Linked DNA regions of Elephas maximus indicus. The protein of the gene in region 3 purifies or fractionates together with the protein of the main gene of each other region. This does not show direct contact. Links are inferred from orthologs where the notes say so. Each region holds a gene or a part of one and is shown on either strand. Other genes may lie near its edges. The genes, in order: SLC25A6, SLC25A5, LRRK2 and ACTG1.

Evidence for each region.
Region 1: the proteins of LRRK2 (region 3) and SLC25A6 purify together in Homo sapiens (co-immunoprecipitation; 3 studies listed by IntAct, with this or other methods). This does not show direct contact. The link is inferred for Elephas maximus indicus from reciprocal best matches to the Homo sapiens genes LRRK2 and SLC25A6.
Region 2: the proteins of LRRK2 (region 3) and SLC25A5 purify together in Homo sapiens (co-immunoprecipitation; 3 studies listed by IntAct, with this or other methods). This does not show direct contact. The link is inferred for Elephas maximus indicus from reciprocal best matches to the Homo sapiens genes LRRK2 and SLC25A5.
Region 4: the proteins of LRRK2 (region 3) and ACTG1 purify together in Homo sapiens (affinity purification with mass spectrometry; 3 studies listed by BioGRID and IntAct, with this or other methods). This does not show direct contact. The link is inferred for Elephas maximus indicus from reciprocal best matches to the Homo sapiens genes LRRK2 and ACTG1.

What each region holds. Positions count from the first base shown.
Region 1 is NC_064846.1:180,063,255-180,070,166, reverse strand, and holds the start of SLC25A6 (ADP/ATP translocase 3), read right to left. Parts: upstream 3,019-6,912; 5' UTR 2,907-3,018; coding exon 2,796-2,906; intron 134-2,795; coding exon 1-133. UniProt on the Homo sapiens protein: ADP:ATP antiporter that mediates import of ADP into the mitochondrial matrix for ATP synthesis, and export of ATP out to fuel the cell.
Region 2 is NC_064846.1:37,412,478-37,419,793, forward strand, and holds SLC25A5 (ADP/ATP translocase 2), read right to left. Parts: upstream 3,013-7,316; 5' UTR 2,852-3,012; coding exon 2,741-2,851; intron 1,752-2,740; coding exon 1,265-1,751; intron 1,051-1,264; coding exon 910-1,050; intron 519-909; coding exon 361-518; 3' UTR 106-360; downstream 1-105.
Region 3 is NC_064822.1:94,616,540-94,624,275, reverse strand, and holds the start of LRRK2 (leucine-rich repeat serine/threonine-protein kinase 2), read right to left. Parts: upstream 3,003-7,736; 5' UTR 2,394-3,002; coding exon 2,240-2,393; intron 1,983-2,239; exon of another isoform or gene 1,982-1,982; coding exon 1,896-1,981; intron 1-1,895. UniProt on the Homo sapiens protein: Serine/threonine-protein kinase which phosphorylates a broad range of proteins involved in multiple processes such as neuronal plasticity, innate immunity, autophagy, and vesicle trafficking.
Region 4 is NC_064837.1:71,371,782-71,378,976, forward strand, and holds ACTG1 (actin, cytoplasmic 2), read right to left. Parts: upstream 3,007-7,195; 5' UTR 2,900-3,006; intron 2,581-2,899; exon of another isoform or gene 2,577-2,580; 5' UTR 2,571-2,576; coding exon 2,448-2,570; intron 2,371-2,447; coding exon 2,131-2,370; intron 1,851-2,130; coding exon 1,412-1,850; intron 1,310-1,411; coding exon 1,128-1,309; intron 1,046-1,127; coding exon 902-1,045; 3' UTR 182-901; downstream 1-181. UniProt on the Homo sapiens protein: Actins are highly conserved proteins that are involved in various types of cell motility and are ubiquitously expressed in all eukaryotic cells.

The DNA.
Region 1 (6,912 bases), on a different chromosome or scaffold from region 3:
AGTAGCGGATGACGTTGGCCAGGTTGCCCCGCCAGAAGGACAGCACGCCTTGCTCCTTGGGGATGCGCACGATGCAGTCCACGATGCCCTTGTACTGCTTGTCGGCCGCGATCTGCTTGCTGGCGTGCTGCACCTGAGGGACAGAGCACAGGGCACCGTGAGCCCTCGGTCCGCACACAGACACCGCACGCATCACAAAGGAGCGTTCTTACAAAACTAATGTCGCTGACCTGACTGCTCACTGTCCTGACAGTTTACAGAGGCTACACCTGAGGGCCAGAGCACAGGACGCCGTGAGGCCTCAGTCTGTCCAGAAACACCCATGGCAGCACTAACGGCTTGTACTCGGCTAACTAAATGGCTGGCAACTTTAAGTCACCCAGGGGTGCTGTGGGAGAAAAGCCTGGTGCTCTGCTCCTATAAATACTACAGCCTAGAAAGCCCTACAGAGCAATTCTACCATTTACATGTAGGGTTGCCGTGAGTCAAAATCGGCTGATGAGAATTTTCTTTTGGGGGGGGCGGGATTTATTCAAAGAACAAGCACTTTTTATAAATGTAGTGTCACTGGCATGTCTGTTCCCTGCCTGCAGGATTTGGAGGTCTTGTACTCGAGATGGCGCAGGACTGGTCAGTGTTCCGTTCAGTTGTGCTTAGGGTCGCAACCGACTCAATGGCACCTAACAACAACAACACTTGAGAGCCAGAGGACAGAATGGTGAGGGCACTGCAGACCAAGGCCTGAATCTAAACCCAGAAATGCCCTTATAAATCAACAAGTGTTTTTATAAAACCAGTGTCGCAGACGTGACAGTTCAAACTCCCCTGATCAAGCGGGAATCTCTAGGTCCCTCCTGCATCATGGGAGCCTCTGAGTGCCACAAATGGTGAAAGGTTTGTCTGTTCACCAAAAGGCTGGCATTTCATACCCACCCAGACGTGCCTCAGAAGAAAGGCCTGGTGACCGACTTCTGAAAAATCAGCCACTGAAAACCCTATGGAAGTAAGTATTTCCACCGATATACATGCGGTTGTCCTGAGTTGGAATCAAGGGCAAGTGGTTTATTCAACCATAAGTCTGGAGGCCCAATCTTTATAAGCAGTTACTGTAACTTTAGAAATTCTGTCCTAACAACCGTCTTATAAGTAGCTTGTTACTTTTGGTAACAACATCAACCCGAGGCCACCACTTCCTACTCACACAGACCATATAGCATGTAACAGAACCACCCCACAGGGTTTCCAAGGCTGTCACCTTTACGGAAGCAGACCAGCACAAAAGTAAAGATAAAGGAGGTTACAAGTCCACTGCGGACCAGCGGCTGCATAAAGACAGTAATGAAAACAGAATCCCCCCGCCCCCGGCCCCCGCCGCCACAGGTGTGCTTGGGACTAGAGACTGCTGAGTTTCCAGAACAGAAATCTGTGCTTAGAGAGTTAATTTTTGAGTGAATTCCATTTGGATGGAGATGAATTCCTAGACAGACAGCTTTTGCCAGCTCCCACATACGATGTGCTGTTCAAGTCTGAAATCACAGATACAGTAACTCCTGTGAACAAATGCTGCTGCACCCATTTCAACCCACGTTGTGTCAGAGTAGAACTGCACTCCACAGGGTTTCCAGTGATTGGTTTTTTAGAAGCAGGTTACCAGGCCTTTCTTCCAAGAGACCTCGGGGGCAGGGATGCAAACCTCCAACTTTTTGTTTAGCAGCTGAGCCCAGTAACCCTTTTCACCACCTCAGACCAGACCAAATCCGCTGCCATCGAAGACGATTCCCACTCACAGCAACCCGGTAAGGACAGAGCAGAACTGCTCCATAGGGTTTCCAAGGCTGTACATCTTTACCAAAGCAAACCCCATCCTCCTCCTGTGGAAGTTGGTAGGTTTGAACCCCCAACCCTTTGGGTAGCGCAGTGCCACCAGGGTTCCTCTTTTCCGGCCCGGGGACTCCTGGAAATCAATTGTCGTGGAGTTGACCACGACTCAGGGACACCTCGTGTTGTGTCAGAGTAGAACCGTGGGCTGCAGGGTTTCCAATAATTGACCTTTTGGAAGCCGATCACCAGGCATTTCTTCCGAGGCGCCTCGGGGTGGACTAGAACCTCCAACCGGATGGCTAAGAGTCTAGCGCTTCACCGTTTGCATCGCCCAGAACGAGTTCACTGTTGTCAAAGAGACTGACCCAGAAACTGACTTTCTGAGCTCAAATTTCGGTTCTAAGAACTGTCAAGATCATCTACGCCCACGTACACCTGTCAAAATCCACAGCCGATGTGAATAACCCACAGGAGCCCCTTCCAGACACTGTCTGTGCGTCCCTCCTTGCTCGGGAAGGACGTGTGCACACGTGGGGTTTCTTTGGGCTCCCCAACCCACGATTCAAGTTCAAGGAGAAAAATGCACTTTAAAGGACCCCCTGCCCCGGGACACAGGGCACAAGGGTGGGCACTGGGGGCGGAGGTGGCCCCAGCTGGGGGTCAAAGCTCCCCAGGGACGGTCACCCTCCCAAGGTCACGACATGCCCGCCCCAGAGTCGCTCTGCCCTTCCCGACCCGGGCGCCAGAGCGCATGCGCGCCCGGCCCGGAGCCCGTCCCCGCCCCCACGCCTGCGGCGACGCCCCACGTGACCCGCCATCGCCCCGCCCCGGAAGCCGCCGGCGCGCGGACAAAGCGGTCGCGGCCTTGCACTTCCGGTGCCGGTCCCGGTGCTCGCGGCCGGCCCGACCCGGTCCCCCGCGCCCTGTCCGCGCGGCTCCCTCCGGGCCCGGGGTCCTGCCCACCCGCCGCCCACCTGCAGCAGCAGCTTGACCCGCTCGATGGGGGCCACGGCCGTCTTGGAGATGGCGGCGGCGATGCCGCCCGCCAGGAAGTCCTTGGCGAAGGAGATGGCCTGTTCCGTCATGGTGGCAGAGCGCGCTGCGGAGCGGGCGGAGAACTGGAGTGGACGCGCGAGGGCAGGGAAGGTGGGCGCCGCTGGCTCTGCCGCCGCCGCCGGGACCGAAAGGACGGGCCGCCTACCGCGCAGCCGCTAAGGCGCCCAGGCCCCGCCCCCGCCCCCGCCCGCAGCGCCTATTGGCCGCCGCGCCCACCGGCGCCCCGCCCCTCGCCGCGTGCCGCGCCCCCGGGGGATGCCGGGAGTCGCCGCGTGCCCCGCCCCGCGCCCCCGCGCGTCCTGCCCATTGGCCGCGCGGCCGCCACGCCCCGCCTTTTCCTGCGCTCGGTGGCCCCGAGGCATGCTGGGAGCCGGGTCCCGCCCATGCGCCTTGCGGGCGGGGGGCTCGGCTGCAGTGACCTTTTCAAGGTCACTGGGAGCGGGGAGGTTTGGGGGGCTGCCCCCGGGGCGCGCCGTCCGCGGCCTTCCACCAGGCCCGGGTGCCCGCGCGCATCCCCGGGAAGGGAGACAAGGCCAAGGACCGGAAGCTGCCGTGCTCCCGACCCCCGCTTTTCCCCCAGGATGGAGCCTTTTAATGGGGGGCGGACGCGTCGTCCAGTGAAACCCTCAGACCCTGCTAAAGGGAAACACGTTTTTGGGGGGCGGCCTGATGCCCCTTCCTCGCGCTAGGGCGCCCCGACCCCGAGCGAGGCTCCGCCTGTCGCCCCTCCAGGCTCACCTGGGGGCCCTCTGCCCCCGCCCCTTAACTCCCGGCACCAGCCCGGTGGCCTTTATGGGGCCTGGGGTCCTTTGCTGCACCCCCGCGGGGCTCCCCCTCCACCTGCACTGGCGCCCACCTCCCCCAGGCCACCGAGGGGCTTCTTCCCCACCTTACCCCTGTAAGGCCCAGGGCTGACCTTTGGGGACTTGGAGATGAGCAGGAGGTCATAAGCTGCCCATATTACACACACTGACATACACCCCTTACGCCCACCCAGAAAGTAAGGTTGTGAGGGCAAGATGTTTTAAGATACTTTGAACTTTTTTTTTGATGTAAAAAAGAAAACAACCCCATTGCCATCCCTTGGATTCCAACTCATGGCGACCTTATAGGACAGAGTAGAACGCCCCCATAGGGTTTTGTAGGCTGTAAATCTTTACAAACTGACATATCTTTCTTGTGCAGACCACCTGGTGGGTTCGAATCACCGACCTTTCGGTTCTCAGCCAAAGGCTTTAACCACGGGGCCACGATCACCCAATGAGTTTTCACAAACTGAACACAGTCCGGTAAGAAAAGACCCTTACCAGCAACCCAGAATGGTTCCTGGGTGGTGTAAATGGTCAACACACTCAGCTGCTAACTGAAAGGTTGGAAGTTCAATTCCATTCAGACGTGCCTCAGAAGAAAGGCCTGGCAACCTACTTCCAGAAAAATCAGCCACTGAAAACCCTGTGGAGCCGCGTTCTGTTCTGACACGTCGGGGGGTCACCATGAGTCAAGTTTGATTCAATGGTAGCAGCTCAGAAGCAGGGTCCTTTTTTCTTTTTTTCCTTTCTCCCTCCCTTGCTTCCTTTCTCTCTCCTTCCATTCTTTCCCTCTCTCCTTCCTTCCCTCCCTGTCAGTCCCTGGCACTGAATGAATGGGCAGATGGAATGGAGCCACACAGAAGAGCTCAGGGCACGCCACCCTGCCAATTTCACGGTCCAGTGTGTTATGAGGAGCCCTGGAGGCAGAGTTGGTGCAGTGGTTAAGTATTTCATTGCTAACCAAAAGGCCGGCTGTTTGAATCCATCAGCCGCTCCTTCGAAATCCTATGGGGCAGTTCTCCTCTGTCCTGTAGGGTTGCTATGAGTCAGAATCGACTCGACGGCAACAAATTTTTGGTTTTGGATGTGTTTTGAACTTTTTATTGATCTGTAACATACAGAAAATTGCACAAGCACTCGAATTTTCACGAAGAGAACATAGTCCTCTCAGAAAGACCCTTAGTAGCAAACCAGAAGTGTCCCTGGATGGTGCAAACAGTGGACATTCTCAGCTGCTCACCAAAAGGGGCACAGTCCAAGGCCCTGAAGCAATGGGTGAGGGGAGGGAACCAGACACAAGAGCTCAGGCACCCTGAGCCTATCCACTTCCCAGGCAGCAGTGTCCTTTAAATGCCTTTCTTAGTCCTCTCTTGACCTCTGCTGTGAGGCAGGTAGGGGGCAGGGCTTGAGGCCTCCACATTCCACAGGCTTCAGCTGGCTTGGAGGCAGAGGCTGTACCTGGAGGGTGTGCCCGGCTGTGGGCAGGGACAGGGTGTCTGCTCAGGGACCTTGTCTGGGCACTGGTTTCCACCAGATGTTTCTCGTCTTTGCAGACTCAGCCTGTCTGGGCTGGAACAGACCCAGGAGACGGTTATCACTGCCCTCGCCTGAGCCTACAGGGCCACGGAGCTGGAGTGTGAGGTCCAGCTGGGACTCCCAGGCCCTGGAATGTGGTGTATCAACTTCAGTGCCACAGACTGTGTGGTACAGAAGAGAGCGTTTGTAATATTTACAGGAGTCCTAGCGGCACAGTGGTTAAGAGCTATGGCTGCTAAACAAAAGGTTGGCAGTTCAGATCCAACAGTCGCTCTTTGGAAACCCTGTGGGGCAGTTCTGCACATCCTACAGGATCGCTGTGAGTCCGACTCGAATCCACAGCAATAGGTTTTAATGTTTATGGAAGCAGGTTCCCTCGGAGCCACTGAGTGGATTTGAATCACCAACCAGGGCTCTTTCCCATAAATAGACACATTAAAAGATTTTGGGTTTTAGCTGATGGCTTGGAATGAGTAGTGCAGTGATGTGGCTGGCAGTTTTTTCTTTTTTGGGGGAGGGGGATAGTAGGAACTGTGAAATTCTTGGGAATCAGCGTTCCATCAGGTGCTGCCTTCAAAGGTCTCTAGTGACAACAGGGAGGAGGCTGGACAGGGCAGGGCTGAGGGGAAGGGCCAAGCTCCATTTACTTAGGTGTGACAGGAAAACCTGTCAAGGCCAGAACCTGTGTAAGGCAGAAACCTGTCCGAGAATGGAAACTCAAATATTTCCCACTAATAAAAAGTGTTAGAAAAGTGGTAAGACTGCACCCTGTCGAAAGCAGAAAACTTAGGAGACCCAGAAAAAGAAAGTAGTCCTGTCAGAGTTCCCCCTTGCACGGATTTCACTATAGTATATGACTTATGGTTGGAGCCCTGGTGGTGCAGTGGTTAAAAGCTTGGCTGCTAACCCAAAGGTCAGCAGTTCGAATCTGCCAGGCGCTCCTTGGAAACCCTGTGGGGCAGTTCTCCTCTGTCTTGTATGGTTGCTAGGAGTCAGAATCGACTCCACGGCAGTGGGTTACATAACTTAGGGTTTGTGCCGCTGCCTCCGCAGAACCCCGGAATAAGTCCAGAGGGTAGTTTTTACTAAGTGCTGTGTTGCAAACAGAACAGTCCCCAAAACCCCGGGGTTGTGGGTAGCAGTTAGCAGGGACAGCTGCTTCGTGTTGTCCTTGGCTGGCAGGAGTCAGGGTTGCTGTTGGGTCACCTTGGGCCCCAATCTCCACTTCCTTCCAGCCCGGCATCTCAGCCAGGGCCCTTCTTGTTCCCTCAGCGCCGCTGTGCAAGGTGAAAGAGTCTAGGAATAATGCCTTCCTGGGCTGTGCTCCAGGAAGCCTGGTGGCATAGTGGTTAAGTGCTATGGCTGCTAACCAAAGGGTCGGCAGTTTGTATCTGCCAGGCGCTCCTTGGAAACTATGGGGCAGTTCTACTCTGTGCTATAGGATCACTATGAGTCGGAATCGACTCCATGGCACTGGGTTTGGTTTTTTTTTGGTTGGACTGCGCTCCACGCTGGCACCCATTCTCTGCCCCTAGGTGTCCTGGGCCATCCCATAGGTGCTGGGTTGATCAGGAGATCCTGGGTTTGAGGCTAGTCGCCCAGAAGAGCGGCTCCCTCCTGGGCTTAGTTCACTTAGCAGGCTGGGACATAGTGGCTGGCAGAGACTGCCCCGGCCTCAAGGGCTTTTCAC
Region 2 (7,316 bases), on a different chromosome or scaffold from region 3:
GATGGCTGAGGATTGATTTTCAAAGAAAGCTCTTCATCCCAGAAGCTTAGACCCATAGCTGTAGCATGTATGTAAAAATAAACTGCAAGCAAGCAAAAACTGCATTTCAGATATTTTTATTTCTTCAAACTTTTTATTTATCAGGAGTGACTGAAATAAAAAACAGAACTGAGTCCCATCGTCATCAACACAGAAATGACTTTAAGAGAAAACTGGTCAGATGAATATTATTGCTTCCCATTTTCAACCAGCAGATAGTTGCTGTTGATAGACAGCCAACAGTCTGTCAAGAATGTTCAAGATATGTTATATATAACACAATATGCCTGTTCACAGGGGTAAACAAAGTAGGAAATAAACTTATGTGAACTTCTTGATTTCATCATACAAGACAAGCACAAAAGCACCACCCATGCCTCTGAGCACATTGGACCATGCGCCCTTGAAAAAAGCTTTGCCGCCTTCATCACGAGCAATCTTCCTCCAGCAGTCAAGTGTGCCTGTGTACATGATATCAGCTGCAAAGAATAAACATGGAATTGGTGACTGAGGGCAGATGAAAGGCCGAAAACTCAGTAGGACAAGAAGGGAGCCCTGCCTCCCTAAAAGCTAGTGTCCATTTTTGTAAACCCAACATTTACACATTCCCGTGAGCAATCGTCAACTATTAATGCTGTGACTAGAAAATAGGGATATGCAAACAACCCATTGGTCTTAACCTCTAGGACCATTTAAGCACTCTCATTCAGTCATCTAACAGCCTACTCAAAGGCAGCTGTGACACAGAAGCTATCAGTCCCAACCCAGGATCCAAAGACTGCCATTTTTAAAGTCAGGCACTGCCAGTTTGTGGCCACAGCTTGCCCCATGCCCACGTCTCTGACTATCTCCTGCTCAGGTGGAACTTACTTCCTTTGCGCCCTGACTGCATCATCATGCGGCGACGAACAGTGTCAAATGGGTAGGAAGTCAACCCAGCCACGGACGTGACGGTCTGAGCTATCATCCAGCTGATGATGATGTGAGTATTCCTGGGATCTGGAAGCATTCCTGAGAAAAGGAAAGGAGACACTTTGACCAAAAAGCAGAGTTCTACTTAGTTGTGGTTTTCCACAACCCCCAAACATTTCCTCATTTCTACACTGGATGACCCTGGCTTTCTTAAGCAATTAAAAAAAAAAATCTCTGGAAAATTAGGCTGGCATAACAATCTTTTATAAATGGTCTCTTAACAATGCAGCTTCAAAGTACATCGCAAACTTACCCTTTGCAGTGTCATAGACACCGAAGTAGGTAGCTCGGTAGATGATAATACCCTGCACAGACACATTAAATCCTTGGTACAGGCCCTTAATCCCATCAGATTTGTAGATCTTAGCCAGGCAGTCACCGAGGCCTTTGAATTCCCTTTCGGCACCAGCTTTACCCACGTCAGCTGCTAGACGGGTACGAGCAAAATCAAGAGGGTATACAAAGCACAAGGATGTGGCCCCAGCAGCACCACCTGATGCCAGATTCCCTGCAAAGTAGCGCCAAAACTGGGTCCGCTTGTCCACACCACCCAGGAAGATCTCCTTATATTTATCTTTGAAGGCAAAGTTGAGAGCCTGGGTGGGGAAGTATCGGATGACATTGACCAGGTTACCACGCCAGAAGGACAGGACTCCCTGCTCCTTGGGGATACGGACCACACAGTCGATAATGCCCTTGTACTGCTTATCTGCAGTGATTTGCTTGCTGGCATGCTGCACCTGAGAGAGAACAAGCGGGCCAAGAGGGACATTTATAACCATGTAGAAGCTGAAAGGGAGGCGAAGATATCATCTCAATCAATGTCCTTTAAGGTTAGCTACCCGCCCCGCCCCGCGCCCCCGCAACAAGTCTAGCCTTGGGTATCATACAGGTTGGACCCTCCTAAGCCCTGAAGCTGTCTCAGGTGGAAGAGGTGACATGCACCCTTACAGGCATTAAGCCTCCACCCATTTGGGTGGAGAGGGGGCACCCTCAAGAAGACTGTCACCTTTCTATCTGAGAGAAAGGTCATTACCTCAGACCCAGGTTCACGGGCACTGAGTCCAAGGTAGGGTGCGGTCACCTTGATGACCTATACCTCAGGTCTCCTGCACTGCCTCCCTCCTGCTCCGCCCCAGCTCCTCTCCTAGAAGCGACTGTGCCGCCACCCCGACTTTCACCCAGGAGCTCCCTCTAGAGCCGGAGCGGAGAATGGCGAGGCGTAGGATGGCTGGCCGGGAGGCGGCGGCTGCGCGGGGGAGGTTGTAGAAGCACACGCGCTTCCCGGCACCGACTTCCGGCCCGGCAAGGTTTGCGCGCCACCCACGTTGGGGGGCATGGGACCGGCCGGCTTGGCCTCCCCCGGGCTGTTATTTCCTTGCCGCAACCTTGAGGTCCTCCGTAAGGCCCGGGGCTCCTCTTTCTCGCGCCTGCATTCAGGCTTCGCCCTTGACCCCAAAGCCCGGGGAGATAGTCGCTCGCAACTTGCCGCATCCGGGATGCTGAGCGCCTGGCCTTCCTCCCCTCCCTCCATCCCGAGCCCTTCCTAGGCACCTAAACTTTAAGTCCCTCGTGTTGGCCGTTTGGTCCGACTTTGTCGCGATCTCCGCCCCATCCCGTCACTTCCCCGGACACGTTTTAGAGTTGGCTCCCCTTCGCCCCTGGGGACCCTGGCTTTGTGCGCGACCCCTCCCCACTTCCTGGTTGGGCTCGCGACCCCTGGACTTACCTGCAGCAGGAGCTTGACCCGTTCGATGGGCGCTACCGCGGTCTTGGAGATGGCCGCAGCCACTCCACCTGCCAGGAAGTCCTTCGCGAAGGACACAGCGGCATCTGTCATGTTGAAAAAAAAGAAGGCAGGCGACAGCAGCAATGGGACACAAACCGGCTTTGACTCCGGGGCTTTGGGGCGGAGCAGAGCAAATGGCTGATTTATATACGGAGAGCCGGCGCCAAGGCGGCCGGCGTTGGGGGCGGGCCCCGAGCGGGAGCTGAGCCGCGGCGCTCGGGGCGGCAGCACCGCTGATTGGCTCAGGGCGCGGAGGGCCGAACCTCTGGGACCCGCCAGGGCGCCGCTCTCCCCGCGGCTCTGGGCCGCCACAGCACCTGGTCCGGCAGAAGGACGGGGCGGGCCCAGGGAATACCCAGGATCTGGGCGCTGGAGCCTGAAGGGGGCGGGCCCTTCAAGGGGGGAAAAAGGGTGAGATCACGTGTGCTTGGACAAACCCCCCTGGAGCAGGGCCAAGACCAGGGTGAGGGGAGTGAGGGACTCGTCTCAGACACAATACTTAAGAGGGCGCCAAAAAACTCAGTAATCGCAACAAATAGTATTTTAAAGCAATATTAAAAAAAAATTCCAATAAGCAATCTATGGCCGGTGGGCCAATCACCTGCTTTTTTAAAAATAAAGCTTAATTGGAGGCAAGTGAGGCAGGGACATGCAAGTGCAGGGTCAGATCCTGTCTTTATTTGCAATTTTGATAGTATGTTCAATCGTGGATTTTTTGCATTCATTTATTACTGTGGTAAGTATACAGGTAAGAAAACATTTGCCGTTTCATCATTCTTCACATGTACAGTTCAGTGCCGTTAAACATGTCCATCATGTTGTTCATCACCCTTAACCATTCCCGAATGTTCTGCATTAATTTTCATTCTTTAAAATAAAAAAAAAAATTTTTTAATACTGCATTAAAAATTATCTATCTTGATTACCGAGTTGTTTTGGCTCGCCACCCCCCCCTTAAATTTTGTGTTGAAGTGAGTGCCTCACTCTCGTCACCCTATTCCTGGCCCTGCCATGGAGCTTCACCAATGAAGCCAGAGGAGGTTGGGGTAACCGGTCACAGCAGAGTGGAAACACTGCCGGCTTGTACCAGACCCTGGTTTGCAAATACAGTTTAACAAAGATCTTGCCAGAAATTGGCTCAGGAGAACCCAAAGCCTGGCAGAGGTGTAATTAAGGTATGGCAGGCAGGGCATGTGCCCTGGACACTGCTTGAGGAGGGGCGCTAAGGAGCAGTTTCTATTGGCCATGGCAGTTTTCATCACTAGTTTGTAGCACATCATTCGACCATTTAAAACTAATTTCCCTTTGGTGAGTGGCGTCTGCAGTCTTAAAAGGTAGCGAGCAAGCATCTAAGACACATCAATTATTCTCAACACACCTGTAGCAAACAAGAATGAAGAACACCAAAGACAGATGGAAAATATTAGCCCAAGAGACAGAAAGGGCCACATAAACCAGAGACTCCACCAGCCTGAGACCAGAAAAACTAGATGGTGCCTGGCTACCTACAATGACTGCCCTGACAGGGAACACAAGAGAGAGTCCCTGACGGAACAGGAGAAAAGTGGGGTGCAGAACTCAAATTCTAGTAAAAAGATCGGACTTAATGGTCTGATTGAGACTAGAGGAACCCCAGAAGACCTGACCCCGGGACTCTCTGTTAACCCAGAACTAAAATCATTCCTGAAGCCAACTCTTCAGACAAAGATTAGACTGGATTATAAAATATAAAATGTTACTCATGAAGAGTGTGCTTCTTAGCTCAAGTAGATTGTTGTTGTTGTTGTTAGGTGCCGTCGAGTCGGTTCCAACTCATAGCGACCCTGTGCACAACAGAACGAAACACTGCCTGGTCCCACGCCATCCTTACAATCATTGTTATGCTTGAGCTCATAGTTGCAGCCACTGTGTCAATCCACCTCGTTGAGGGTCTCCCTCTTTTCCGCTGACCCTGTACTCTGCCAAGCATGATCTCCTTCTCCAGGGACTCATCCCTCCTGACAACATGTCCAAAGTATGTAAGACGCAGTCTCGCCATCCTTGCCTCTAAGGAGCATTCTGGCTGCAGTTCTTCCAAGACAGATTACAGTCCATGGTGTATACTCAATATTCTTTGCCAACACCACAATTCAAAGGCATCAAATCTTCTTCGGTCCTCTTTATTCATTGTCCAGCTTTCACATGCATATGATGTAATTGAAAATACCATGGCCTGGGTCAGGCGCACCTTAGTCTTCAGGGTGACATCTTTGCTCTTCAATACTTTGAAGAGGTCTTTTGCAGCAGATTTGCCCAATGCAATGCATCTTTTGATATCTTGACTGCTGCTTCCATGGCTCTTGATTGTGGATCCAAGTAAAATGAAATCCTTGACAATTGAATTGAAATCCTTCAATCTTTTCTCCATTTACAATGATGTTCTGCTCATTGGTCCAGTTGTGAGGATTTTTGTTTTCTTTATGTTGAGCTGTAATCCATACTGAAGGCTGTGGTCTTTGATCTTCATTACTAAGTGCTTCAAGTCCTCTTCACTTTTAGCAAGCAAGGTTGTGTCATCTGCATATACAGGTTGTTAATGAGTCTCCTCCAGTCCTGATGCCCCGTTCTTCTTCATACAGTCCAGCTTCTTGGATTATTTGTTCAGCATACAAATTAAATAGGTATGGTGAAAGAATACAACCCTGATGCACACCTTTCCTGACTTTAAACCAATCAGTATCCCCTTGTTCTGTCCAAACAACTGCCTCTTGATCTATGTAAAGGTTCCTCAAGAGCACAATTAAGTGTTCTGGAATTCCCATTCTTTGCAGTGTTATCCATAGTTTGTTATGATCCACACAGTCGAATGCCTTTGCATAGTCAATAGAACACAGGTAAACATCCTTCTGGTATTCTCTACTTTCAGCCAGGATCCATCTGACATCAGCAATGATATCCCTGGTTCCACGTCCTCTTCTGAAACCAGCCTGAATTTCTGGCAGGTCCCTGTTGATATACTGCTGCAGCCGTTTTTGAATGATCTTCAGCAAAATTTTGCTTGCGTGTGATAATGATATGGTTCTATAATTTCCACATTCGGTTGGATCGCCTTTCTTGGGAATAGGCATAAATATGGATCTCTTCCAGTCAGTTGGCCAGGAAGCTGTCTTCCATATTTCTTGGCATAGACGAGTGAGCACCTCCAGCACTGCATCTGTTTGTTGAAACATCTCAACTGATATTCCATCAATTCCTGAAGGCTTGTTTTTCACCAATGCTTTCAGAGCAGCTTGGACTTCTTCCTTCAGTACCATCAGTTCCTGATCATATGCCATCTCTTGAAATGGTTGAATATCGACTAATTCTTTTGGGTATAATGACTCTGTGTATTCTTTCCATCTTCTTTTGATGCTTCCTGCATCATTTAATATTTTCCCCATAGAATCCTTCACTATTGCAACTGGAGGCTTGAATTTTTTCTTCAGTTCTTTCAGCTTGAGAAACACCGAGTGTGTTCTTCCCTTTTGGTTTTCCATCTCCAGCTCTTTGCACGTGTCATTATAATACTTTACTTTGTCTTCTCGAGACACCCTTTGAAATCTTCTGTTCAGTTCTTTTACTTCGTCAATTCTTCCTTTTGCTTTAGCTGCTCCACGCTCAAGAGCAAGTTTCAGAGTCTCCTCTGACATCCATCTTGGTCTTTTCTTTCTTTCCTGTCTTTTCGGTGACCTCTCGCTTTCTTCATGGATGATGTCCTTCCACAACTCGTCTGGTCTTCAGTCATTAGTGTTCAGTGCGTCAAATCTATTCTTGAGATGGTCTCTAAATTTAGGTGGGATATACTCAAGGTCATATTTTGGCTCTCGTGGACTTGCTCTGATTTTCTTCAGTTTCAGCTTGGACTTGCATATGAGGAATTGATGGTCTGTTCCACAGTCGGCTCCTGGCCTTGTTCTGATTGATGATATTGAGCTTTTCCATCGTCTCTTTCCGCAGATGTAGTCAATTTGATTTCTGTGTGTTCCTACTGGTGAGGTCTATGTGTAGAGTTGCCGTTTATGTTGGTGAAAGAAGGTATTTGCAATGAAGAAGTCGTTGGTCTTGCAAAATTCTATCATTCGATCTCTGGCATTATTTCTATCACCAGGGCCATATTTTCCAACTACTGATCCTACTTCTTTGTTTCCAACTTTCGCACTCCAATCACCAGTAATTATCAATACATCTTGATTGCATGTTCAATCAATTTCAGACTGCAGCAGCTGATGAAAATCTTCAATTTTTTATCTTTGGCCCTAGTGGTTGGTGCATAAATTTGAATAATAGTCGTATTAACTGGTCTTCCTTGTAGGCGTATGGATATTATCGTATCACTGACAGTGTTGTACTTCAGGATAGATCTTGAAACATTCTTTTTGACAATGAATGCAACACCATTCCTCTTCGAGTTGTCATTCCCAGCATAGTAGACTCCATGATTGTCCAATTCAGAATGGCCAATACCAGTCCATTTCAGCTCACTAATGCCTACGATATC
Region 3 (7,736 bases):
CTGTTTCTACATCCCTTTGATAAGAGTGATGTGAATCAAAAATTACAATGTTTCTGTGCCTAGTATGGCCACAGTGGTTGTACCAAAACATTGTGCTTTTGTACTTGCTTACATGAAAAGTCTGTGATATTCAGAAGCCGTGGACAGTATGACGGAAGAGGCTTCAAAGTTACGAGAAGACTTGAGTTAAAGTCTTGGCTCTGCTACTAGCTGGGTGATCCCAAATAAGCCATTTCCTCTTGCTGAGCTTTTATGAGAGGAAATTATCCAGTGAGATTTCTGAACAGGCAATGGTATCAAATGATATAATATATACAATGCCCTTTGCAGGCTTAGATGGTGCTATAATTAATAATTCTATTCCATTAAATTATCAAATCAGAAGACAATTCCTTACTTCCCTCCATATTTTGTCTCTAGTACCTACTGGGCCAGAATATTGAGTGATACTCATAGCTACTACAGAATAGTGTGACTCAGGTTTGGGCAGTTTCTAAAGTGAAGAAGAATCAGATGGGAAGTATGTTCAGGTTCCCTTGGGGTCTCAAGCCTATCATGGCTTGCTCTGGACTCTGTAGACCAAAGCCCACCTAGGATCCCATTGTCCTGAGTGGTACTGAGCAAGGTGACTCTGCCAGGCAGAGTCCAGGAATGGAGGCTGCCAGAACCAGTCACATGAACATGGAGGCGAGGGAAATGGGGGTAGGTGGGTGGAGAGCAGCAAACACGGTGGACCAGTGCCTAAAATGTGATTCATGTTCCATGGGCAAATTCAGACCTCGAGTGCTAAAAAGAGCAAGCATCCTTATCATGCCTCTAGCTTTTCTTGGTTTTGTTTAATAGTAGCCAGGAAATCAATAGTCAGATGGAAAACATTTCATAGTTGAAGAAAAATAAAAGAAACCATTTATCCCAGATATGAATGTGCTTATATAAAAGAAGTTAGATACTTAGTATCAGACATAGCTGATATAGAGATAGAGACAAAGATACATAAACACAATGACAGAGAGAGAGAATTCTTACCCCTGTGTGGCATCTCAATTAGACAGGAAGAAATACTGGCTTTCTGTCTACACCTCCACAGAATTCAAAGTTTAATTTTATTTTCCATCAGGACTTTACAGATGACAAAGCTCATTTCAGTTCCCCAAATCTCAAAAGGAAGTTATCACCTTAGTCAGAAATTTGTTTTTACCGTAAATCATTCTTACTTACCATCTTAGGTTTCACTTTTTAATATACCTAAGATATACTAACTCGATTTTTTGAGTTTCCTATGACACCGATTCTAAAAATTTCAGTTTTATATTCAGTTTACATGGGAACACAAAAAATAAACATATAGGGGAATCCTAAAACATCACTTTCATTAGACACAAGGCAAACTTTAAAAAGGCTAGGTACTTCACTGTCTTCAAACTAAAATTTTTTTAAAAATCTCTGAAACCTATGAGAATTTGCCAGTTACTTAATTGTGTTTTATTACTGTTAATTATTCCCCTTTCCCAAACTATTGGCAATGGTGTCAAATCTAGGACATAGCTCTGCACTGGGAAAATCCTAAGAATAATTCAGTCTAAACACCCTGAAACTCATCTAGCCAGTAACAGAGTACCTCAACCCATTACTATTCTCCCCAGCCCCCAACCACGTTCTGCCAGTCAGTTTTATTAAGTTACCTTTTAATGACATTCTTGGAACTCCGGGCAAGCACTTTTACACAGTTAACATTAGATAAAGATTTGACAATACTCTCATCTTAAAATCACTGTCAGAGGTTCATCAAGCCAAATCTCAGAAATAACCAGGAACTCCAGGTATATAACTTTGACAGAAAAACATCGCTTTCCAAAAAGAAAGGGCGAAAGGGCAGAATGAAAGCAGCTCCTTACCTGCTGCACACCCGCGACTCTTATGTAGGAGTCCAGGACGATCAACAGAGGCACGTGGATATTTTTGCCTTGAAATAACTTGGAGGCTGGAAAAGAAGGGGGTGAGGGGAAAGAAGCAAAGTCAGTCACAATTCACAGCAGCCCTTTAATGTCCCAAAAAGGGGGGGAAGCAAATACGAGGTGAGCTCAAGATCTTCCTGGAATTCTCAGCTCCTTTCCGCTTTAAGGAAAGGAGTAGGGAGTTTGAGGCTTCTCAGGAGTCCTGGACTGAGCAGCTCCAAAGGGCAAGGGAGAAAGTTTGCAAAAAGGGGTGAGGGTGGAGGGAATCATTCCCTAGTGATTACCGTGGTCGGCGTACGTCAACACCAAAATATCCTCCAGGATTTGGACCAGCGTCTCAATCTGTTTTCCTTCCTGGACATTGTTCAGCCTGACTATTAACTTCTTCAGAGTTTCCTCGTCCTCCTCCTCGCACCCCTGACAGCTGCCACTGGCCATGATGGCCCCTGCTGTGTATCCGCTGCCCCTCCGGGCAAGGAGGCCCGCTGCTCAGACAAGGGGCTGGGGCTTAGGCCACTGTTCCGGGCAAGTACAGCTCACTGCTGGCAGCCCGTACGCCCCATGGGCACCCGCTCCGGCCTGTTTATGAGAAAGGCGGCGTCTCCACGCCCTGCGCTCCCCTCCCTCTCCTCGAGCCTTCCTCCTCCGCCGCCCAGGCCCCAAAAATGAGCTCGGTGGCCTGCGAGAGGCTGGTAGAAAGCTGAACCGTGGCACGGCTGCCGAGGCGGGGCTCCAGGGGGGGCCGGCCAGACGACTGTGGCCCCGGAGCCCACTGCGCTGGGAACCCCCGGGCGGGCGCCGCCTCCTTGGCCCGATCTGATCCCACTCGCCGAGGCAGTGCAGCAAGGGAGTCGCGCAGGAAGAAACTGACTCAGCGGAGTCCGCCAAGTGCCCCAGACCCGGAGTCCTGCAGCGGTGGGGAGGAGGCTTACAGCCTGCAGCCGGCAGGTTACGGTCCCAGACCGGCCAACCCGGGCTCCTTTGGGCCCACGGAAAGTGGGATCTCAGAAGAGGAAAATGAAAGCCGCCTATTTCCAGATCTGAGAATAGAAATCAGGGCTTTGGGAAAAGAGGACACCGCCCAGTCGGCCCCTTTTAGGGCAACATTCTCTTTAGGGTTCCACCTACAGGGAGATGCATTAATTTCTCCGCAAGGATGGAGATGTTAGCAGTCAAAATTTGCCTAGCTAAATTCTTTTTTTGTGATTGTTGTGCGTGGAGATAAAAGGTGCTTTTTCTGTTATTTGAAAATCTGGTTGCCAAACCAAAAAAAAAAAAAAAACACCAAACCCATTGCCTTGAAATCCATTCTGAGTCATAGCGACCCTATAGGACACAGTAGAACCGCCCCATAGGGTTTCCAAGGAGCGGATGGTGGGTTCCAACTGCTGACATTTTGGTTAGCAGCCAAACTCGTAACCACTGCGCTGCCAGGGCTCCAAAAGGCCACTAAAAATACCTTGAAATTTTGTGTTTGCACTAGGAAGATTCCTGATAGTGGACATGCCAAAAGTAATCAATTCTCTGTACTATTAAAACTGAAGAGAAAGACAGGGTAAATGAAATGACCAGCAGAAAAGGTGAAACAAACAAGCCAAAAAATATTGCTCTCTTACTATTAAGAATTACTAATGAAAATGGGTGTCTATAATCAAAAGTTTTTAAAAATGGACCAAAGTAATGTGTTTTTCAGGAAGGGAAACCAGTTAGAAACACTGTAGACAAGGCACTTCTACACTGTAGACAAAAATGATACTGTCTTCAGGCCAAGGCAAACCACAAGGTAAGGGCTATTTACACAGGAGAGGATTGAACTGGAAGTTAGAACTTCTCAGTTTTTAGATTCCTTTCACATCTGTTACCTCAGTCTAATGATAATTCTGAAATGCACAAGGCAGCTACAATTTCTTCTTCTTTTACTAATGGAAAATTGAGATTTGAGATGTTAAATGAAGAGATTTTCCTGGGTCAAACAATGGGAAGTTGAGAGCTGGAACTTAAATCCAGGTAGAATGTCTAACACCAAATTGAGTGCTCTTTTTCTTTACATTCTGCCATTTTAATCAAAATGACCTAGCTTTACTTCAAACATTAGGTTAATAAAACAAGTTTAAATTCAACCTTGGTATTGTGAATGTTTTGCCGTTGTTGTACATTTTTCCCCCCAAATTTTATTTTGTTATTGTTGTTGAGAATATATACAGCTAAAGACACAGCAATTCAAGTTTCTATATGTACCATTTATTAATACCAATTATCTTTTAAAGACACACGCTTATCTATTTACAGTTAAAATAATATAATGATGAGGATTTGCTTCAAAGTAACCCAGTGATGGGGGAAGGGATGAAATGGGTGGAGGTAGTGATGCAAAAACACCAACTTTTGAATTGATAATTGTTGGAGATAGCTTCATGGGGTTTATTTTACTATTCTCTACTTTTTATAAGATATAAAAGTTTCCATATAAAACTTAAAACACACACAACTCTCATACTTGTAGTTGTTATCATACCTGCTGTATATGCCTTCCTAACTGGTTTCTTATGTCATCTTTTGACTACCTACTCAATAACTCATATTTCTAGGAAGTCTCCCTTTTATGTCTCCCTTCCCAAACTACTGGTTTATTATCTTGCAAGAGATTGAAACCTAACTGCCTTCTAAGAGAAAGTCAATCTAAGTATAAAAGATTCCTTTTCTTTTCCTCAATCAATATTCATTATTCCATCTATTTTCTATACTATATTAGAGTAACTGGACTCTGTGAAGAAGAATATGGCATCAAGATAGGTGGAAGACTTATTAAGAACCTGAGATATGCAGATGACACAACCTTGCTTGCTGAAACACTAAGCAGACTTGAAGCACTTACTGATGAAGATCAAAGGCTATAGCCTTCAGTATGGGTTACACCTCAATATAAAGAAAACAAAAATGCTCACAACTAGAATAATAAGCAACATGGTGATAAACGGAGAAAAGACTGAAGCTGTCAAGGATTTCAGTTTACTTGGATCACAATCAACACCCATGGAAGCAGCAGTCGAGAAACCAAATGATGTACTGCATTGGACAAATCTACTGCAAAAGACCTCTTTAAAGTGCTGAAAAGCAAAGATGTCACTTTGAGGACTAAGGTGTACCTGACCCAAGCTATGATATTTTCTTTTTTTAATCTTTATTGTGCATTAAGTGAAAGTTTACAAATCAAGTCAGTCTCTCACACAAAAACTTACATACACCTTGCTACAAAGAACCCAGTGCTACATACTCCCAATTGTTCTCCCCCTAATGAGACAGCCCACTCCCTCCCTCCACTCTCTCTTTACGAGTCCCTTTCGCCAGCTTCTAACCCTCTCTACCCTCTCATCACCCCTTCAGGCAGGAGATGCTAACATAGTCTCAAGTGTCCACCTAATCCAAGAAGATCACTCCCCACTAGCATCCCTCTCCAAACCATTGGGCAGTCCAATCCATGTCTGAAGAGTTGGCTTCAGGAATGGTTCCTGTCCTGGGCCAACAGAAGGGGTGGGGGCCATGACCACTGGGGTCCTTCTAGTCTCAGTCAGACCATTAAGTCTAGTCTTATGAGAATTTGGGGTTTGCATCCCACTGCTCTTCTGCTCCCTCAGGGGCTCTCTGTTGTGTTCCCTGTCAGGCAGTTGTCTGTTGTAGCCAGGCACCATCTAGTTCTTCTGGTCTCAGGCTGATGTAGTCTCTGGTTTATATGGACCTTTCTGTCTCTTGAGCTCGTAATTACCTTGTATCCTTGATGTTCTTCATTCTCCTTTGATTCAGGTGGGTTGAGACCCATTGATGCATCTTAGATAGCTGCTTTCTAGCGTTTAAGACCTCAGACGCCACTCTCCAAAGTGGGATGCAGCATGTTTTCTTAATAGATTTTATTACGCCAATTGACTTAGATATCCCCTGAAACCATGGTCCCCAAACCCCTGCCCCTGCTACACTAGACTTCAAAGCATTCAGTTTATTCAGGAAACTTCTTTGCTTTCGGTTTAGTCCACTTATGCTATCCTCGCCTGTATTGTGTGTTGTCTTTCCTGTCGCCTAAAGTAGTTCTTATCTACTATCTAATTAGTGAATACCCTTCTCCCACCCTCTCTCCCTCCCCCCTCTTGTAACCATCAAAGAATATTTTCTTCTCTGTTTAAACTATTTCTCGAGCTCTTATAATAGTGGTCTTATACAATTGTTGTCCTTTTGCAACTGACTAATTTCACACTCAGCATAATGCCTTCCAGGTTCCTCCATGTTATGAAATGTTTCACAGATTCATCACTGTTCTTTATTGATGCATAGTATTCCATTGTGTGAATATACCATAATTTATTTATCCATTTATCTGTCGATGGACACCTTGGTTGCTTCCATCTTTTTGCTATTGTAAACAGTGTTGCAATAAACATGGGTGTGCATGTATCTGATCGTGCAAAGGTTCTTATTTCTCTAGGATATATTCCAAGGAGTGGGATTGCCAGATCGTATGGTAGTTCTATTTCTAGCTCTTTAAGGAAGCACCAATTCTATTTCCAAAGTGGTTGTACCATTTTACATTCCCACCAGTGCTGTATAAGTGTTCCAATCTCTCCATAGCCTCTCTGACATTTATTATTTTGTGTTTTTTGGATTAACGCCAGCCTTGTTGGAGCGGAAAACCCTGGTGGCATAGTGGTTAAGCGCTACGGCTGCTAACCAAAGGGTCAGCAGTTTGAATCCACCAGGCGCTCCTTGGAAACCCTATGGGGCAGCTCTACTCTGTCCTATAGGGTCGCTATGAGTTGGAATCAACTCAATGGCACTGGGTTTGTTTTTTTTTGGTTTTTAAAGGCTAATGATCGTGAGCATTTCCTCATGTATCTGTTAGCTACCTGAATGTCTTCTTTAATGAGGTCTGTTCATACATTTTGCCCATTTTTTAATTGGGTTATTTGTCTTTTTGTAGTTGAGTTTTTGCAGTATCACGTAGATTTTAGAGATCAGGCGCTGATCAGAAATGTCATAGCTAAAAATTTTTTCCCAATCATAGGTAATCTTTTTACTATTTTGATGAAGTCTTTGGATGAGCATAGGTGTTTGATTTTTAGGCGCTCCCAGTTATCTAGCTTTTCTTCTGCATTCTTTATAATGTTTTGTATACTGTTTATGCCACATATTGGGGCTCCTAACATTTTCCCTATTTTTTCTTCCATGATCTTTATCACTTTAGATTTTATATTTAGTTTCTTTGATCCATTTTGAGCTTGTTTTTGTGCATGGTGTGAGGTATAGGTCTTGTTTCATTTTTTTGCAGATGGATATACAGTTATGCCAGAACCATTTGTTAAAAAAGACTGTCTTTTCCCCATTTAATACTTTTGGGGCTTTTGTGAAATATCAACTGCTCATATGTGGGTGGATTTATGTGTGGGTTATCAATTCTGTTCCACTGGTCTATGTATCTGTTGTTGTACCAGTGCCAGGCTGCTTTGAATACTGTGGTGGTATAACAGGTTCTAAAATCAGGTAGAGTAAGACCACCCACCTTGTTCTCCTTTTTCAGTAATACTTTACTTATCTGGGGCCTCTTTTCCTTCCATATGAAGTTGGTAATTTGTTTCTCCATCTCATTAAAGAATATCATTGGAATTTGGATCGGAATTGTATTAAATGTATAGATCGATTTTGGTAGAATAGACATTTTTATAATGTTAAATCTTCCTATCCAGGAGCAAGGTGTGTTTTCCCACTTATGTAAGTCTCTTTTGGTTTCTTGCAGAA
Region 4 (7,195 bases), on a different chromosome or scaffold from region 3:
TGCTCAAGATTCAGCTGGGTTCAATAAAGGTCCAAAGAGACTAGTGCTTGTCTTGAAATGCTAATTATACTAAACCAAAATCGCTGCCAAGTTGTCCGGTATGCAGCCCAGTGTGGCTCAAGAGACCTCCCACCCGTCCGCCCGCCCACCCCGCCCCCCAGGAACTGGAGCCAGTCGCCGGTTCACTGCAGCACTTTATTTCTCCTTAACACAACGCCGCGTTGCTGGGGCCTAATGTTCGCACATGACAATAGAAAAACCAAAATTTGTTGTCATCTTAGAGTTGAGAACTGCGTACAAAAACCTCACATAAATTAAAAGGATGAATAAATTTACAGGTTTAAATGCAAATCATCTTCCAACTCAAGGCAAGTTTTAACAACCCACGGTGTTCCAACGGGAAAACATCAGCTAAGAGAGGAAACTGGGTCCTAAGGCTCAGATTTTTCCAACCCTGTCAAGGCTGGCAAGACAGAAATGACAACTGCTTTCCAACTCTTGCCAGCCTCTGGAAATCCTGGCACCGTCAGCTCTCCGCATTAATACCCTGCACAGACCGCGAGGTCAGTGAAGCAGACACTCGCCACGCCAACAATTTCACCACACCATGTCATCCCTCACCTTGGCCATGGGATGACCAGATCACACGAACTAGGGGTTTAAATCAAAGATATGTACAGGGTATTAAACACAGACCAAGGGAGCAGTTAACTTGAATACAAGGTCAAGGTCAGCAACAAGTTCTATGATCCAGTGCTGATATCAAGATACAGGCTTCAAGGACAATTTCTTTTCAAAGGCTTCTTCCAGTTTCACGAGGCTAGCATGAGGCGTACAGGTGTGCAACCTGCACTCGGGAATGGGCTCATGCGGCAGGTGGTGGCACCTGCTGGCAGTCCGTCTAGAAGCATTTGCGGTGGACGATGGAGGGGCCCGACTCGTCGTACTCCTGCTTGCTGATCCACATCTGCTGGAAGGTGGACAGCGAGGCCAGGATGGAGCCGCCGATCCAGACCGAGTACTTGCGCTCAGGGGGAGCAATGATCTGCACGGGTGACAAGAGAGGCGTTAGCAGCACACTGGGCCCTGCCTGCCCACGCCTAGGTCACAGCCCCCTGGGGACCTACCTTGATCTTCATTGTGCTGGGCGCCAGCGCTGTGATCTCCTTCTGCATCCTGTCAGCAATGCCGGGATACATGGTGGTCCCGCCAGACAGCACCGTGTTGGCATACAGGTCCTTCCGAATGTCCACGTCACACTTCATGATAGAGTTGAAAGTGGTCTCGTGGATGCCGCACGACTCCATACCTAAGAAACAAAGTTCTCCCTTAGTGGTCAACAGCCACACTGCTTGTCCTCTTCAGGCTACTGCACGTGAAGAGCCTCAAGGCTGAGGCACCGGCCACCTACCTAGGAAGGAGGGCTGGAAGAGGGCCTCGGGACACCGGAAACGCTCGTTGCCAATTGTGATCACCTGGCCGTCTGGCAGCTCATAGCTCTTCTCCAGAGAGGAGGAGGAAGCGGCTGTGGCCATCTCCTGCTCGAAGTCAAGGGCTACGTAACACAGCTTCTCCTTGATGTCACGCACAATCTCACGCTCAGCCGTGGTGGTGAAGCTATACCCTCGCTCGGTCAGGATCTTCATGAGGTAGTCAGTCAGGTCTCGGCCTGCCAGGTCCAGACGCAGGATGGCGTGGGGCAGGGCGTAGCCCTCGTAGATGGGCACAGTGTGAGTGACACCATCGCCAGAGTCCATGACAATACCGGTGGTTCGGCCAGAGGCATACAAGGACAGCACCGCCTGGATGGCCACATACATGGCTGGCGTGTTGAAGGTCTCAAACATGATCTGCAAAGGAAGCAGAACGTTAGTCAGAGACAACGACTGCTAATGCCCCGTGCTACACGCTACATGCCACATGCCCCCCATGTGATGTGTGAAGAAAGGAGAGGGAAGCAGGCAGAAACACACGAGAAACCTGGAGGCTTCAAGGAGGAAATGCCAGAAGAGGAACAGAACCCTGGAAACAGCGAAAGAAACACTTGAATTTCAGAAAATAAAAACAGTAAGGCAAAACACGATTCTAAAGATAGAAAAAAGGGATTCATTGACAAAACCAGACAATCACCTGGGTCATCTTCTCCCTGTTGGCCTTGGGGTTCAGGGGTGCCTCAGTCAGCAACACCGGGTGCTCCTCGGGGGCCACACGCAGCTCGTTGTAGAAAGTGTGGTGCCAAATCTTCTCCATATCGTCCCAGTTGGTGACAATACCGTGCTCGATGGGGTACTTGAGAGTCAGGATGCCTCTCTTGCTCTGAGCCTCATCGCCCACGTAGGAGTCCTTCTGGCCCATGCCCACCATGACGCCCTGCAAGAGGCCGACCGGGTCAGCTCCCGCAGCTCAGAGTGCCCGGGACCCCATGAAAAAGAGCGCCCCCTACTCACCTGGTGCCGGGGGCGGCCAACGATGGAGGGAAAGACGGCGCGGGGGGCGTCGTCGCCAGCAAAGCCAGCTTTACACATGCCAGAGCCATTGTCGATAACCAGGGCGGCGATCTCTTCTTCCATGGCGATCTATCTACAGACGTTACCGATCAGGCGGACCCTCGCGCTCCAAGACGCCAGACTGCCCCCCAAGCGCGCAGCCCAGCCCGGAAGGACGGCCGGCCCCCAACCGCCAAGACCCGGCTTCCAGACCTCGATGGAACCATCCCTCATGGCGCGAGGCCCGGGGCTCCGCAATGCGGCCCGCCGCCCCTCCCCCGGGCGCAGCCCACCAGCCCGGCCACCCCAGGAACAAAAGGCCGCCTCTCCGGCCGGAGCGGCCTGCGGAGGGCGCCGCCAGGACCTCGCGGAGACGACGGCGCTGGGTTGGGGCGCACAGACCTGACCCTTACCGGAAAAACAAGGAAGCAGCAGCGAGCTTTAACCACAGACAGAGACAAGCCCTGAGCGTCGGAGGAAAGTGAGACCGAGCGCGGCCTCCCCCGCCGCTTTTTAAGGGGGCGCGGGGCGCGCGCGCGGAGCGGCGGCGCGCGCGGCCCAGAACATGGCCATATATGGCGATCTTGGAGAACGCCGGGCGCCCATTGGCCGTTCCCGCGGGGGCACGTGGGGCCCCGCGCCCCGCCCTACCCCCGCCCGCACCGCCCCCCAACAGCCCCGCCCGCGCCGCCCCGGGCGCCGGGGACCCCGAGCCGGGCCGGCGGAGGGACGGACTGGCGGGGCAGGGCGCGGGGTGCGGCTATCCGGGTGACCTGCGGGGGTCGCTAGGAGGGCTGCGGGGTGACCGACCCGGCTCCACCTCGGGACTGTCGCGCCGTGGAGGAGGGGCCGGGCTGCGCCCCGAAACTGCTTGACCCGGGCCTGGGCCGCGCCCCGAGCCGGGATGTGTCCCCGCGGTTGGGCCTTGTTTGGAGGCTTTACTCTCCAGGCGCCCCCAAGGAGCCTTCCTCTCAGGCTGCACTGAGACCCGTGGCCGTGAAGGCCGGTTCCCGGTGCTGGGCTGGGGGAGGGAGCCGGAATTGGGGTCCCCAGCGCCCTGGGTCCCGAGGCCGAGGGGAGCCGTGACCTCGCTTCTGAGCCATAGGAAGGATCCGTCCGCCCCCTAACGCGGTGCAAGGCCCCCGCTGCGGGAGGAGGGGGCGCCCGGCCCCGGTCCCCAGGGGTGTGAGCCAGAGGCCCCTTTCCCCACACCCGACACGTCCTGCGATACATTCCCCCAAAAGCAGACCCGCTTGTCCTTGGACGCCGGCCCCACCCGGGTTTGAGGTCAAGCCCCATCCGCGCGGCGCCCGCCTTTGTTTCAATGTTATCACTTGGTGCACGTTATAGGGAAGTAGAGGCAGGGGGAGGGAGTCCCCACTCCCTGAACGATCGACCCCAGATCCTGGATGGGCTGGGGGGGGTGCCACCTGCTCCTCTGTCGTCTGCTTGTGAAACAAGGAAAGTCGGGGAGCTCCCAGGCAGAGACTGCCTGGTGCTCTGGGCCTTGGGTCCGCACAACGCTTGAGCCCCAGCTCCTCCAGGCAGGCGCCCCTTTCCTCCGTCCTGGCGCTAGGAGTTCTCCCAGCCCAGGGCGAACCTTTCTCAGCAGGAACCTGCATTGAAAGACCTGTCCCCTGTCCTGGCAGGGTCCTGACCCCATCTGTGTGTGCAGATGCTTCAGTTACACTCTGAGATACTGTGGAGCCAGGTACTATGGTTTCCTTGTGCTTATCTGGAAACCCTTGGAACTGCTCAGAGAAAGCATAAAAGGGCATATCCCTCAGAAGGGTGGCCGTGGGCTGGACACAGAATGGGAAAGAACTCGTCCAAGGTCACGGGACACGTAGGTTTTCAGAGTCGGGTCTTGGATGCCTGCCTCCGAAGTTGTGACCCTGGGGGAACACTGATAGCCAGTACCTGGCTCCCCAGGTACAGCACACATCTTCTCTGGGTGCCCTTAGCCATGCAAGGTAGCCTCATGACCGCACTTCTCAGGTGAGGACGCCGGGCTAGGCGCGGCAGAGCAGCTGGCCCTGGCAACACCAGAAGCCGAGGCCTGTGCCCATGGCCAACAGGTCACCAGGCTGAAAGGCAGGGTGCAGGATCCCCAGCCTCCTAGATTTTACAGGGGCACTCTCAAGGCTGCTTTCCATTGGGTCCAGGCCCCACCAGGGGACGACCCGAGCTGGGCCTCCAAGAAGTCACCCGACTCCTGTCCCCTGTCCTGGGCACAACCACAGGCCTGCTAGGTAGGCATCAACAGTGGGGGTACGGCCGTTCCACTTGGGGGTTCCCAAACTCTATGCCACACACGAGGGGAACAGGAGAGGAGAGATGTAAGGATAAAGCCGCCTCAGCCTGTGCCCACGCTCTGCTCTGCTAGGACCCCTCGGCTCCCAGTGGGGGCGGGGCGCCTGTCCCCTCCACGGACTCGGGTTTCCTCTCAAACGCCTTTGTGTGTGCTGGGAGGCGGGCTGCGGCCCACTCCCAGCCTGCTTCTGGGGACAGATGGACCCTCGATCCCCGCCCCTACCCTTCCTTCCGCACGTCCACCGGGAGGACAGGACGCCGCGGCAAGGTCAGAGGGCCGTGGGGGCGGTGGCCGCGAGCCCCCCGCCCGGCAGGGCCAGGGCGGCGCGGAGGGGGCGCCCAGGCCGGCCGGCTAGGGGGGCAGCTACTTCCCCTTCCGCGATGTGTCACCGGCGGGGGTGGCAAGGTGCGGCCCCAGGTGCGCTGGCGGGGGGCGGTGGCGCGCGGCGCGGCCATATTTGGCGATTTCGGTGCCGCCGCCCCGCCCGCCGCCACCGCCGCCGGGAAGCCCGCGGTCCCGCCCGCCTCGGGACCTGAGTCACGGGCGAGCGGGCGGGGCGGAAGTAACGGCCGGCGCCGGCGCGCCTCGCCTTATTTAGGCAGGAGGCCGCGGATTGGCCCGCAGGACAAAGGGGTGGTGCGGGGAAGCCCTGCTGGGCGGCGGCCTCCACGCCTACCCGCGGCGGGGACCCGGCTCGGCCTACCAGGGTTTTGGGTGTCGAGGCCCCAGAGGCGAGGATCTGGGGGGGGTGGGGGTCAGATGGCCAGAGGGGTTGGGGGTGCGCAGCTGGATGCCCGCATAGGGGCGCGGAGGCCGGGCGCCGCTGGGACTGCCGTGGCTCCAGGTGTAGCAGGTCTCCTAGCCCTGGGGCGGAGGACGGCGGTGGGCACCGTATTCTGCGATGTGGTTTCGCCGCCTCGCCCAAGGTTACCTGCTGGGGCGGTCAGAACTGTGCTTTTGGAAGTGGGTGGCGCAGGCCGACCCCACCCCTCCAGGAGCTGGAGTGGAGAGGCCGTCCGTGGACCGTATGGAGGTGGCAGCCCCTGGCTGGGGTGAGCAGGGAGGCTCTGGGAAGGGCTGGGGGAGGGAGAGCCGGCAATTGAAGCTGAAGGGGTGTGAGTGTCCCTTCTCAGGAAGAAGGCTTAGGACTCAGAGAAATGGCCTTTTTTTTCCCTCCTAAAAAACCCCTAAAACTCGCTGCCGTTGAGTTGATTCCAACTCATTGGCATTCTATAGGACAGAGTAGAACTGCCCCATAGGGTTTTCAAGGCGGTAATCTTTACAGAAGCAGACTGCCAGATCTTTCTCCCTAAGAGCTGCTGGTGGGTTCAAACAGCCCACCTTTGGGTTAGCAGCTGAGTGCTTAGCCACTGTGCCACTATTAGCTTGGTACTGGCTTTGGTGGCTTTTTATTGTGGCCTTGCTGTGTATGTTTCCCAGCCATTTAACAGATGAGCAGACAGTGGCTGGGAAGGTAGTGTCGTCCTGCTGTGCAATGTGCTGGGCCTAAGATAGCCTGGGGCCTCCCTCTAGGCCCTGGGCACTGCCCTCTGGCACCCCGGCTTAGGGTCCTTCCCATGAGTTCCTCCAACACTGATGTCAGCCTGTCATCTCCCTGTCCCAGCCCTGGAATCCGTGTCACCTCTGCACCTGGTAACATGGCCCCCCAGCTGACCACCAGACAAGGCAGGGCCTCGGGAATGATTGCCCATCCTGGCCTTTGTCTCTGTCGGCCCAGTCTCCCCACCAAGTTCCAAGGGTTGGATTCTGTAACAAAACAAGGACACTGTGGGGGGAACGGTGACATCCAAATGAAGTATGGAGTTAATAGTAACATACCAGTGCTAACCTCTTAGTGCTGACGACTGGATTGTGATTAAGATGTTAGCTTTAGGGGGAACTAGTGGGTGGGTATAAGGCACTCTGCAGGATCTTTGGACTTTTCTATAAACCTAAAATTATTCCAAAATAAAAATGTCCAAGGGGGAAAAAAAAGTACCTACATCAGCTCATGTTCCTAACCTTTTTCCAGCCTCTGTGGACAGATCAAATGTAAGGTGACTGCCCTGTTCCTGACTGCTGATGCCCTCTCCAGGTCCCGGAGCCCACTCCTACAGGGCAGGGGCAGCCCCTGGCATGGGCCTCGTCTGCCCGGGAGGGCAAGGCCAAGCCTATCTCCCGCCTGCTGCCTAGGCATGCCTCAGTTCTCCTGTTGTCACCACGCAGGCTGAAGCACAGGTGATCTAGATGGCCCTGTACAAATGGTGGCGTGGGGTCATCTGACCTCTAAGCTCCAACTTCACAAGTGGAAGGAGAATCAAGATCAACAGCCCAAGGCTTATTTCTATGAGGCAGATGTCAGACATACCTCCTTTCTCCAACCTTATTACCAGTT